Linked DNA regions of Xenopus tropicalis. The protein of the gene in region 1 purifies or fractionates together with the protein of each later gene. This does not show direct contact. Links are inferred from orthologs where the notes say so. Each region holds a gene or a part of one and is shown on either strand. Other genes may lie near its edges.

Region 1 (3,653 bases):
CCCTCTATCCCTCAATACATTGTCCTTCATGCTTTCAACACATGGGTGCTCCCGCACTTTTGTGCCAAATGGAGGCTCGTAGTCCTTTACATCTGCAGTGATAAAAAAAAAAAAACAATTAAGTCAACTTTTACTAGGCCTATTGGCAGTTTCCCATCTAGGCATTAATTTATCAAGGTTTGAATTCAAATTTTTACTGTGATTTTGCATAAAAACTCCCAAATTCAAATTATGGTTAAAAAACTCAAATGTAAAACTTCAAATTCATGTAGAATTCAGTGGGAGTCCTATGAAAAATGTGTATGCGTTTTTTTTCAGATTTTTTAGACCCATTAAAAGATGATGGGAAGAAAATACATTTGATGCATTCAAGTTTTTTTCCCATGGTTTAATTTGATTGAGTTTTTTGTATTTCAATTTCTAAATAAATAAGCATTTGAGTTTTCTAAAATGTCAAGTTTATTTCAATTGAAAAAACCTCTTGTTTGATTTGTGATAAATAAGCCTCCTAATGTTTTGTTCATTATTAGCATGAGATTTGCTTGTTTTCAGATTAGATAAATACCTGTTAATCTATGTACAACACCTACCTGGTTCCAGGGAAATGCCTTCAATTTTAGGGTAACTGGGTGTATATATTATTTTACAAATCTACTTTAGTGTAGTTGGGGTAAAAACAGGTTTAAACAATATGTTTGTGTAGCTCTCACTTATATGGTATAACCATCCAATGGACCAACTCTGGTGGCAAGGCTAGACTGTATATAATGGACAGTTAGGATTTCCATAATGAACATTATTCTCCCTGCCTCTTGCACACACAATACATGCCTACCTGCTGTTTCAGCTAAAAAAAATCATTAATACGTTAATATGGACCTATATCTTAATATCATTAGAAAAAATATAATTACCTCCAATGGCATTGCAGCGGGATGTGATTTCCCAAAGGACAAGCGCCATTGAATAAACATCAGTTTGCTTAAATGATTCTATGTTCTCCAGATTGATTCTAGACTCTAGAACCTCTGGAGCCATATACCTAGCAGTTCCGACCTGTGAAAAGGAAAAATGAAATCAATTAAAACCAAATCAAAGTTGTCCCAATACTGATAAAATGTCTATTGCTGCTTTATTTGACACCAATATTACTGCAAACGGCTTATTATTGTCTAAATTAATATATAACACTTGCATGAAATATAAGGAAAGCTAAAAGTAATTTAATAGTGCGCAGGGCTCTAAATAAATACTAAACATTCTTTGAGAACACTCAATGAATGCTGCAAAACATTTAGTTATAACGTCAGCAATAAATATTGTCATTTCTACACAAGAAAAAGCAAATGATTAATAGTCCGTAACGCAGCAGTGCTAGTCATGTGCACATCACACAAAATTTGTCTAACCTGGCCACTGTTTGCAAGATCATCCACTGAAAGTGAAGGTTCAAGCCAAAGAGACAGACCGAAGTCACACAAGCAACATGTGAGATCATTTTTAACCAAAATATTTGAGCTCTTAATGTCGCGGTGAACAATTGGTGTCTTTGGTCTGCCACAGGGTGTGTGATCACTGTGCAAATGAGCAACGCCACGGGCCAAAGAGCCTCCAAGCTTCATAAGGTCTTCCCAGCTGATGATATGCTTGGATAAATATTCTTGTAGATTGCCTTTAGAGTGGAAAGCAGTGATGAGCCAATACTGTTTGCCAGTGTCAGTTTTCCTCTCTTCTGCTGTCAGGAACTGCAGTACGTTCTCATGTTTCAGATTCATGTCAGAAAAAATATCTTTTTCCATCTTCCAGGATGCATATTCTTCAAAATGGAAAATTTTGACAGCCACTGTTTCATACTGTTCTGATGTATTTTGTTTTAGCTTGGCCTTGTACACTTCAGCAAATCGACCTTTCCCAACCAAAGTGTCTAATTCAATTGGGAGAAGCTCAGTATTGTGGTTTAGGTTGTTGGCACATGTTGAACTGATGTCAGAACGATCATCGTCTATCATAATCGCACAGGCATCGCTGCAGTCCATATCGGGATGGCGCATGCACTTTGGATTCTTTTCCCATTTCTTTTTCAGTTTCTTTGTTCTCTGAACACGGTAGAAGTAGAAGCCGACGATGACTGCAATGGTGATCCAGACCAGTGGAAGAAGAGTGATGAGAAGAACTTTCAGGAGTATGTCTTTAGATGGGTCTATATTTGTCTCATTTGCTAAAAACAAAAAAACATTTTAGTTTCAAGGGCAAACAAGCATGTGGAACACAAACTCACCATTAGGTATCATTGCAATCAGAGACACCGCTGGTGTGTGTGGTTAGAACATTTGATGCTGGAGTCCTGTTATTATGACTGTGTCACATAGCTACTCTATTTGGATAAATGCAGTAAACACATTCCCTCACTGTAGTAAAAAGTGGCCGCATATACATTATACTAAGGGTATAGTAAAACAGACACAATAAAATTAATGTCACAATTTAATGAATATATAGAACATATAGAATGAACTTTTATTAAGGATCGGCAAACTGTGAGGGATCCAACCAAATTAACAGGAAACTAGGAAGAGGCTGATGGAAGCCAAGCTCTCATAGGATTATTTAAGACATTACATGTACACAAAAAAATTCTCATTACATTTTATTTATGGAGAATCTGTATATTGCTTAGAGTTGTATATGGGGAAGTTAACCAAAATTACATCTCTGAAAAGCTCAGACAAATGGTACAGTGAAGAGCATCCTAATGGCAAGGGTGATGCCATTCAATTTCCCAGGTACCATTTCTATGGTATTCATTCACATATAATACAGAAAGGTACATAACCACAATAAAAAAACAGTCAGTGATAACAGTCAGTTATCGCAAAATGTTACTATACCCATGAACTTCTAAAAAGCATTGATACGCTTGTATGGCTAATAGGACAAATGGGAGGGAAGTGCAGCCTACTTTAACTTCCAGGTCTGCCAGTGCCACACAGAGAAGCCAGGCAGCCACAAACTACAGTACATTTTCGTTCCACACAGATTCATTACAATTTGTGTTTTCCTTGTGGGATGCCCATATGTTCCAATATAAATATTGGGTGAAATTGCTGCATATGTATTTATGTGCATGGCCACCCCTATTTGCTGATCTCAAGATCTGAATCAGAACAAATGAGTCACGCCAACTGCGTTCTAACCAAGAAAGCAGACATAGGCTGGCCTTTTCTGTTGTGCAGTAATCACAACTTTGCAAATCAGGAGGAAATCAAGGGACAAAAGGGCACATATATAAAAATAGGAAAAGTGATGGAGAGGTAAAGTATAAGCAGTTTGCTAAAATAAACAGATACATTATCAACAGCAACAGAAACACCAAAAGGCCATAATATAAAAATAATCAAGTAATAAATTACCTGGAGGAAAAAAAAACCTCTCAGTACAAAGTTTTCCTCTACACGAACACATGGACATTATTCCCTCACTTGTCTTTTTCTCCTTCATGATGCACTCTTTCTCATTATAGTCATCCAGTTTATAGCCATACAGTTCCTTTTTTGGGTCATGACACATTGTTTCCTCGGTGATGTTGCCATCCTTATTCCTCCTTTAAAATACAAAAGATTTAAAATACCAAATGCTACATAAAAACTATTGTC
Region 2 (3,753 bases), on another chromosome or scaffold:
ATCTGGACTGACTGATGTATATATGGTTTGCCCCAGAATATACTTTATGTGAACATGGCCCTGTAAACCTCCTGCGCTCTTTTCCTATCCTTCATTGATAGTTTGTTGTGAGACTCCAGTTTGTTATTACGTAATGGCAAAGAACTTTTAATTATAATATATCTCTTTCCTAATGGCATCTGCAGAGGATAACTATGAGAACTTATGGAAACTGTACAGTGCAGTATTCTCAGCAATTCCTTATAGATTTATGTGGCGTGCAAGGTTTTGAGTAATTTGGTTCATTTGACGTCCTCCTGCACCTATATCTAAGGGGTCTGTCATGCAGATAGGATAGGATATTTCACATACATACTTACATACATATGAAATAATAAAAGTCAATAATCCTTCTGATCCAGCTCCCCCATACAGAGACTAGTATTGTTCCATTTTTTCCATGACATACTTTGGATGTTCTTACATGATACATTCCAAGTAGCAAATCCAGGGGGTGTAATAAATTAGAAGAACTTAATTTAGAGGATGTGGGACATATTTCTGGGCCTTGAGAAAACCCCCCTTTTTGGTGCTTACAACATTAGAAATTTTTTGTGCTAGCCTTTTAAGGAACCAATGATTTAAAACCCTCCCAGCTCAGTCTATAGAGAAATTCCGATATGCAGAGAATGTAGCCATTAATACTCCACAGCTGGATTACCTAAACCATTGCCTAAAAGCTGTCGCTGAAGTCTGAGCAACCCCAACCAAAGGTTGGCTTAGAATTCTGGGACTTGTAGTTTAACAAGTACAGGCTGATCATCCTTGCATTAGAGACTTATAGCTGAAAACTGTTCTACATATATTTTAAAATAATACAAATTTTTCCAAAGCTTATTTGGCAAGCATACAGTTTCAAGCATAAATGGATAAAATAATTACAGTAGTAATTATTAGTAGTAAAGGTGTCATGCTGTTTTTTACACAGGAAATGGATATGCTTTTATCATGTGATAAAAAAAATGTGTAGCTCAAGTGTCTAGTTCCTGTTATTTCACTGGTATTAGCTCCTATGTTGTACATTGGTCATCTGTGTTTGGGGTCCGCTGTAGGTCAAGGGTATGCTATGGAAAGCAGCTGAAATGTTGTAGAACTACAAAACCCAGCACACCCTTGGAATACCTTAATTATTTCAAATTATTTCAGCTAGTGTTTCTTTTAAACCTTTTCTAGTATCTTCTTTGGGAAATATTGTTTCTAAATTTAAAAATTAAATGATAACATTGCCCAAATTTAACAGGTAGTCAATATATTAATGATCAAATGAAATAATTTTATGATATAAATAGGCGAACCAAGATGGGGTTTGGATTCAAATTCATAAATTGTTTCAGGATTGGGCCAAATTCAGTCTAAACCAAAAACATAGGTGCATCTGTAGATTCACAAAACAAGTGGAGGACAGAAAGGTGGCTGTGAACTAGAGCCCCAGGTATCCATGTCCCAACAGCTAGAGAAGATAGCACTAAAAGAACTTCTCCACCTCTGTGTTCTAAGAAGTAAAAGAACCATTTCGCATTGTTTCTTTCCTAGCAAAGGGGTTCATTTTTGCTTTTTGCAGTTGGATGCAACAAAGAGTGTGAGAACAACAGACACAAAAGAGCTGGCAGCTGAAATCAACTTGCCTTTGAAAGAACACCTACCTTTCTAAGGTGAAATTAAAGAAGTAACTACAAAAACACAGAGTGGTCTTATATCTTGAAATCAACCACAGAGGATTGTTATTCACTTGAACAGAGACTTACTTGAGTGTCCCATGATGTGGCAGAGAACAAAGATCATTAGCTGTAATGCTCTCATCCTGTTGAATCTGTTCTTCCCGTTTCTACGGAACTTCTTAGCCTGTGTCCAGTGGTGCAGGCTTAGAATAAGCTCCCTGCAAGAGGCAGAGTGGTGTCACAGCTGGGAGGAGAGGCACAGGGTAGAGCGGAATAAAATAGCCACAGAAATCCAGATTTTGTTCCTCGTGAAAGGACTGACTAGTTATAGAGAGAAGGAGAGAAGGAGAGACAGTCAGACAGTTGAAAAGGAAGTCTGTAAGATAGTAATTGAGGAAGAGACAAATGTCCACATTGCTCCACGCTGCACAGATACAGCACTATAAGCCCTCTGCAGGAAGCTGATGGGACGGAGGGAGGTCTTATACAGCTGTAGATCACTGGCCCAGAAGGAAATGCCTTTTACACAAGTTAAAGTACAAAAAAAAAAAAAAACATTCTCTAAGGAACCCACATACCAGAATATGGGCCAAACAAACAGACCCCCCTCCTCCCTCCATGCACACGTCCAGCAGGAAGAATGATTTTAACTGTATGAATGCCATATCAACTTTATGGTGATGTCCAACTTCAATGAGGACATTGAATACAGCTTCTTTGCATGCCTGTGATATGAAAATCTAATTGCAAGCATCTCTTAAGCATGCTTCTCTTAATGCTTTGTGTAATACGAATGTGCTACATAAATATATAATAAAAAATGCCACTAAAGCAACTGGTATCCATAATACCAAACATCAATTGAAAATTCTGTCCTTGACATCAAATGATTTCATGTATTGTAGATTCAGTGGGAATGGTGTCTCTGAATATTCTCATTCATCCAGGTCATGATATCCAGTATCTAGTAGAGTTTTTCTGAGTGGGAATGGTCTTTAACACACAAACTTTGCCTTTGGTGTTATGAGGATAGAAGGGTTATGGAATGTTTTCTCTGTATTTGTATATTTGGTTGTATAATTTACTGGAGGCCCTTGGGTTGGATGCAACCCTCCAAGGGATGGAAACAACCTGCTCAAAAGTTCTTACAGATATCGTTGTGTGACATCGACATCTAATAATCGTCATTTATGAGCCCTGCTTGCAAGATTTCATTGGGTATAAAAAGAGATACCACTACCAAAGAAATCAAGATAACCTGCTTGGCCAACGAATCGTGGGTTGTGGGGGGGTCTCACAGCCTACTTTTTCCCGGTGCCTTGGCCAGGTCCTGGATGCCCTTCCGCTTGGTGTCTGGGAATTTCATCTCGTTTCCCAAAAATCTAAACGACTGGAACACTATGAAAAGGCAGTTTTATGATGTAAGTGGCATTCCCAATGTGTTGGGTGCAATTGATTGCACCCATGTGGCGTTAAACCCCACCCAAGACAGGGAGCATATATTCAGGAACAGGAAGAGCTACCACTCCCTGAATGTACAAGTGGTGTGTGATGCACATATGAACATTCTGAGCATCGTGTTGACTTTCAGTGGGGAAATTCAACCTGCTGCCATTCTCACAGCATTAAAGGAGACATATTGGATAAATTGGAAAACCCTAATTTTGTAGGCAATTATGAATAATATACGGTGCTGGTTTCCCTTTGGGCTAAAAATTAATCCTATCTGTAACAATGGCCCCTTTATTGGAGCTCCCTATAGATCGTATCACTTCTCTGTCCGAGTCTGAAATGGAGAGTGGGCGTGTCCTAACGGTCCCTGCCAGAAGCACCGTAGGAGGGGAGAGCCAATCACAGCCCTGCAGTCACACAAGCACAGACAGGCTTCAGTTCCCTATCAGGTCAGCCTAGCTGCTGATTGGTTCTTATCTTATAGTGCAGTGTATGGAGGGCCGCCGGCTCCCCAGCTCATCCAGAGAATTCAGCCAGCAGGAAGTGGAACAGATGGGCGGGGCTAGTGGGGTTTTGGTGGAATTTCTCAATAAATCAGTCTGAA
Region 3 (3,753 bases), on another chromosome or scaffold:
ATGGTGTGACTGTCTCTCAGTGAGTGACTCTGGGTAATGGTGTGACTGTCTCTCAGTGAGTGACTCTGGGTAATGGTGTGACTGTCTCTCAGTGAGTGACTCTGGGTAATGGTGTGAGTGTCTCTCAGTGAGGAACTCTGGGTAATGGTGTGACTGTCTCTCAGTGAGTGTCTCTCAGTGAGTGACTCTGGGTAATGGTGTGAGTGTCTCTCAGTGAGTGTCTCTCAGTGAGTGACTCTGGGTAATGGTGTGAGTGTCTCTCAGTGAGTGTCTCTCAGTGAGTGACTCTGGGTAATGGGGTGAGTGTCTCTCAGTGAGGAACTCTGGGTAATGGGGTGAGTGTCTCTCAGTGAGGAACTCTGGGTAATGGTGTGACTGTCTCCCAGTGAGTGTCTCTCAGTGAGGAACTCTGGGTAATGGTGTGAGTGTCTCTCAGTGAGGAACTCTGGGTAATGGTGTGACTGTCTCTCAGTGAGTGTCTCTGGGTAATGGTGTGAGTGTCTCTCAGTGAGTGTCTCTCAGTGAGGAACTCTGGGTAATGGGGTGAGTGTCTCTCAGTGAGGAACTCTGGGTAATGGTTGTGACTGTCTCTCAGTGAGTGTCTCTCAGTGAGGAACTCTGGGTAATGGTGTGAGTGTCTCTCAGTGAGGAACTCTGGGTAATGGTGTGAGTGTCTCTCAGTGAGGAACTCTGGGTAATGGTGTGAGTGTCTCTCAGTGAGGAACTCTGGGTAATGGTGTGAGTGTCTCTCAGTGAGTGACTCTGGGTAATGGTGTGACTGTCTCTCAGTGAGTGTCTCTCAGTGAGTGTCTCTCAGTGAGGAACTCTGGGTAATGGTGTGAGTGTCTCTCAGTGAGTGACTCTGGGTAATGGTGTGAGTGTCTCTCAGTGAGGAACTCTGGGTAATGGTGTGAGTGTCTCTCAGTGAGTGTCTCTCAGTGAGTGTCTCTCAGTGAGTGACTCTGGGTAATGGTGTGAGTGTCTCTCAGTGAGTGTCTCTCAGTGAGGAACTCTGGGTAATGGTGAGTCTCAGACTGTGCGTCGCTCACAGTGTCCGGCCCCGCCCACATTCCTGCCTCCCGCTACTTGCAGTCTCCTCCCACAAGTGTCCGTGTCTCCGCCCCATTCCCGCCTGTGCCCCGCCCCTGTTCCCCGGTGCCTCCTCCCCGGGCTGTGAGTGGCTCCCCCGGCCCGTGTGGCTCAGTGCTGTCTCCGCTCTGCCCCAGGCTGATGGCGCTAGTCGGTAACTCGGGGCCCCCACAGTCCGCCTGACTCTCCCGCCCTCCCTCCGTACTCCAGGCCGCGGCCCGGGCCTAGCCTTGCTGTGGGACTCCCCGGGGCCATGTCTAACCAGGGATCCCGGCGGAACGGGCCGGTGAAGCTGCGACTGACCGGTGAGTAGGCCCGATACCCCTGCGTGGGGCAGAAGGCTCAGGGTGGGAGGGATCACAACAACAAGTTGGGCCCGGTGCTTCCCAGCATTCCGTGCGTTTGTCATGAGTTCCGGGGGCAAGTAGGGTAATATTCACCCCAGCTACTTCCTGCCGTTAGTTACCCCTCAGGCCTAACCTGCATGTTCCATTGAGCCCAGGGGCCCCTCTGGCTTGGCCTGGAGCTGAGCAATTGCCCTTTGAGGCAGGATTACTTGCCCTAGGTGGGGGTAACTAGTTGGTTTGGGGCCCTGGGTGCTTCTGGGGTCACACCCTGTGCTTATTGGGGTCCTGCCCAGGCTGTGAGTGCGCCCCCTAATTACAGGGCAATAACGAGACCTAATTAATAGAGTTTATATGAGTCTGGCGCTTGTACCCCTGTATGGGGCAGTTAGCTCATGTATGTGCCTGATTCCTGCGCCACTTGCCCCTGTATAGGGGGTACTTATTAGAGGGAAGAAGTCACTTGTGTAGGCTTGTGGGGGCGCCAGGAACCCTAAAATAAACCCCAAATGCCCAACCCCTCCCCTATCGGCCAGGCCTGGGGGCTGCAACCATCTTCCTTCAAGGCTTCGCAATCCCCTTTCTGGGCTAATGTGCATTTGGGGCAACTAGGATTGCTGCTCTTTGGATTCTGCCCCTGCTCAAGGTACCAACATGGCTCCTCAGCCCCAATGTGTCTGAGTTGCATCTCGATTGTGAAATAAGTTTTAGTCCTTTAATGGCATTTTACTGTATTTTGCGTGAAATCTGGAGTGGTCATTGGGGTATGTAATGGATCTGCCCTGGGCACTGCCACCCTTGGCTACTGGAACTCTGGCTGGACCTTATTTGCCCTTTAACTCATCTTTGAAGAGGATGCTGGGATTTGTAGTTCTTTAACAGCTGGTTGCCTAGGCATTCAAAAAGCAGTATTACTAAGTCCTTACCATATGGGCCCCCCTTTCCTCACTGACTACAGGGGGGCTGGTATTAAAAGCAATCATGGGTACCCACTCTAACCATAGGAAATGCCCACAATGGCTTGGCATGCAGAGATTTACAGTGGCATCCATGGTAGTGAGTATTGGCCTTGTCTGGCATTGTCCTTTAATTGTGAACCCTGTTGTTCGGGTTGCCTTTTGCTCACACTGAATGCTGGGAGATGTAGTTTCACAATATGTGGGCCTCTGGCCTAGGTGCCCTGCATTGTCAGTACAAGTGCAGCTGAGTGTGAGAGAGTACATGGAATATGAATCATGGTTTCTTATGGAGTCATTCACACTGGCAGTTTCCTTCTGAGCATTTATACAGAAACCATAGAGTTGTGCCCATAGGCAGACATACAGATACCATAGAGTTGTGCCCATAGGCAGACATACAGAAGCCATAGAATTGTGCCTATAGGCAGACATACAGAAGCCATAGAGTTGTGCCTATAGGCAGACATACAGATACCATAGAGTTGTGCCCATAGGCAGACATACAGATGCCATAGAGTTGTGCCTATAGGCAGACATACAGATACCATAGAGTTGTGCCCATAGGCAGACATACAGATACCATAGAGTTGTGCCCATAGGCAGACATACAGAAGCCATAGAGTTGTGCCCATAGGCAGACATACAGATGCCATAGAGTTGTGCCTATAGGCAAACATACAGAAGCCATAGAGTTGTGCCCATAGGCCCATGTCCCCCTGACAGACCGGCGTAGCCCCAGGTTTCCCCCCTGACAGACCGGCGTAGCCCCAGGTTTCGCCCCTGACAGACCGGCGTAGCCCCAGGTTTCGCCCCTGACAGACCGGCGTAGCCCCAGGTTTCGCCCCTGACAGACCGGCGTAGCCCCAGGTTTCCCCCCTGACAGACCGGCGTAGCCCCAGGTTTCGCCCCTGACAGACCGGCGTAGCCCCAGGTTTCGCCCCTGACAGACCGGCGTAGCCCCAGGTTTCCCCCCTGACAGACCGGCGTAGCCCCAGGTTTCCCCCCTGACAGACCGGCGTAGCCCCAGGTTTCCCCCCTGACAGACCGGCGTAGCCCCAGGTTTCCCCCCTGACAGACCGGCGTAGCCCCAGGTTTCGCCCCTGACAGACCGGCGTAGCCCCAGGTTTCCCCCCTGACAGACCGGCGTAGCCCCAGGTTTCCCCCCTGACAGACCGGCGTAGCCCCAGGTTTCGCCCCTGACAGACCGGCGTAGCCCCAGGTTTCCCCCCTGACAGACCGGCGTAGCCCCAGGTTTCCCCCCTGACAGACCGGCGTAGCCCCAGGTTTCCCCCCTGACAGACCGGCGTAGCCCCCAGGTTTCCCCCCTGACAGACCGGCGTAGCCCCAGGTTTCCCCCCTGA

The links.
Region 2: the proteins of tgfbr2 (region 1) and eng purify together in Homo sapiens (affinity purification with western blotting; 3 studies listed by BioGRID). This does not show direct contact. The link is inferred for Xenopus tropicalis from reciprocal best matches to the Homo sapiens genes TGFBR2 and ENG.
Region 3: the proteins of tgfbr2 (region 1) and smurf2 purify together in Homo sapiens (affinity purification with western blotting; 3 studies listed by BioGRID). This does not show direct contact. The link is inferred for Xenopus tropicalis from reciprocal best matches to the Homo sapiens genes TGFBR2 and SMURF2.

Annotation. Positions count from the first base shown.
Region 1 is NC_030682.2:49,106,953-49,110,605, reverse strand, and holds part of tgfbr2 (TGF-beta receptor type-2), read right to left. Parts: intron 3,602-3,653; coding exon 3,411-3,601; intron 2,219-3,410; coding exon 1,410-2,218; intron 1,057-1,409; coding exon 915-1,056; intron 93-914; coding exon 1-92. UniProt on the Homo sapiens protein: Transmembrane serine/threonine kinase forming with the TGF-beta type I serine/threonine kinase receptor, TGFBR1, the non-promiscuous receptor for the TGF-beta cytokines TGFB1, TGFB2 and TGFB3.
Region 2 is NC_030684.2:24,489,733-24,493,485, reverse strand, and holds the start of eng (endoglin), read right to left. Parts: upstream 2,178-3,753; 5' UTR 1,840-2,177; coding exon 1,785-1,839; intron 1-1,784. UniProt on the Homo sapiens protein: Vascular endothelium glycoprotein that plays an important role in the regulation of angiogenesis. Required for normal structure and integrity of adult vasculature. Regulates the migration of vascular endothelial cells.
Region 3 is NC_030686.2:51,425,919-51,429,671, forward strand, and holds the start of smurf2 (E3 ubiquitin-protein ligase SMURF2), read left to right. Parts: upstream 1-1,102; 5' UTR 1,103-1,342; coding exon 1,343-1,394; intron 1,395-3,753. UniProt on the Homo sapiens protein: E3 ubiquitin-protein ligase which accepts ubiquitin from an E2 ubiquitin-conjugating enzyme in the form of a thioester and then directly transfers the ubiquitin to targeted substrates.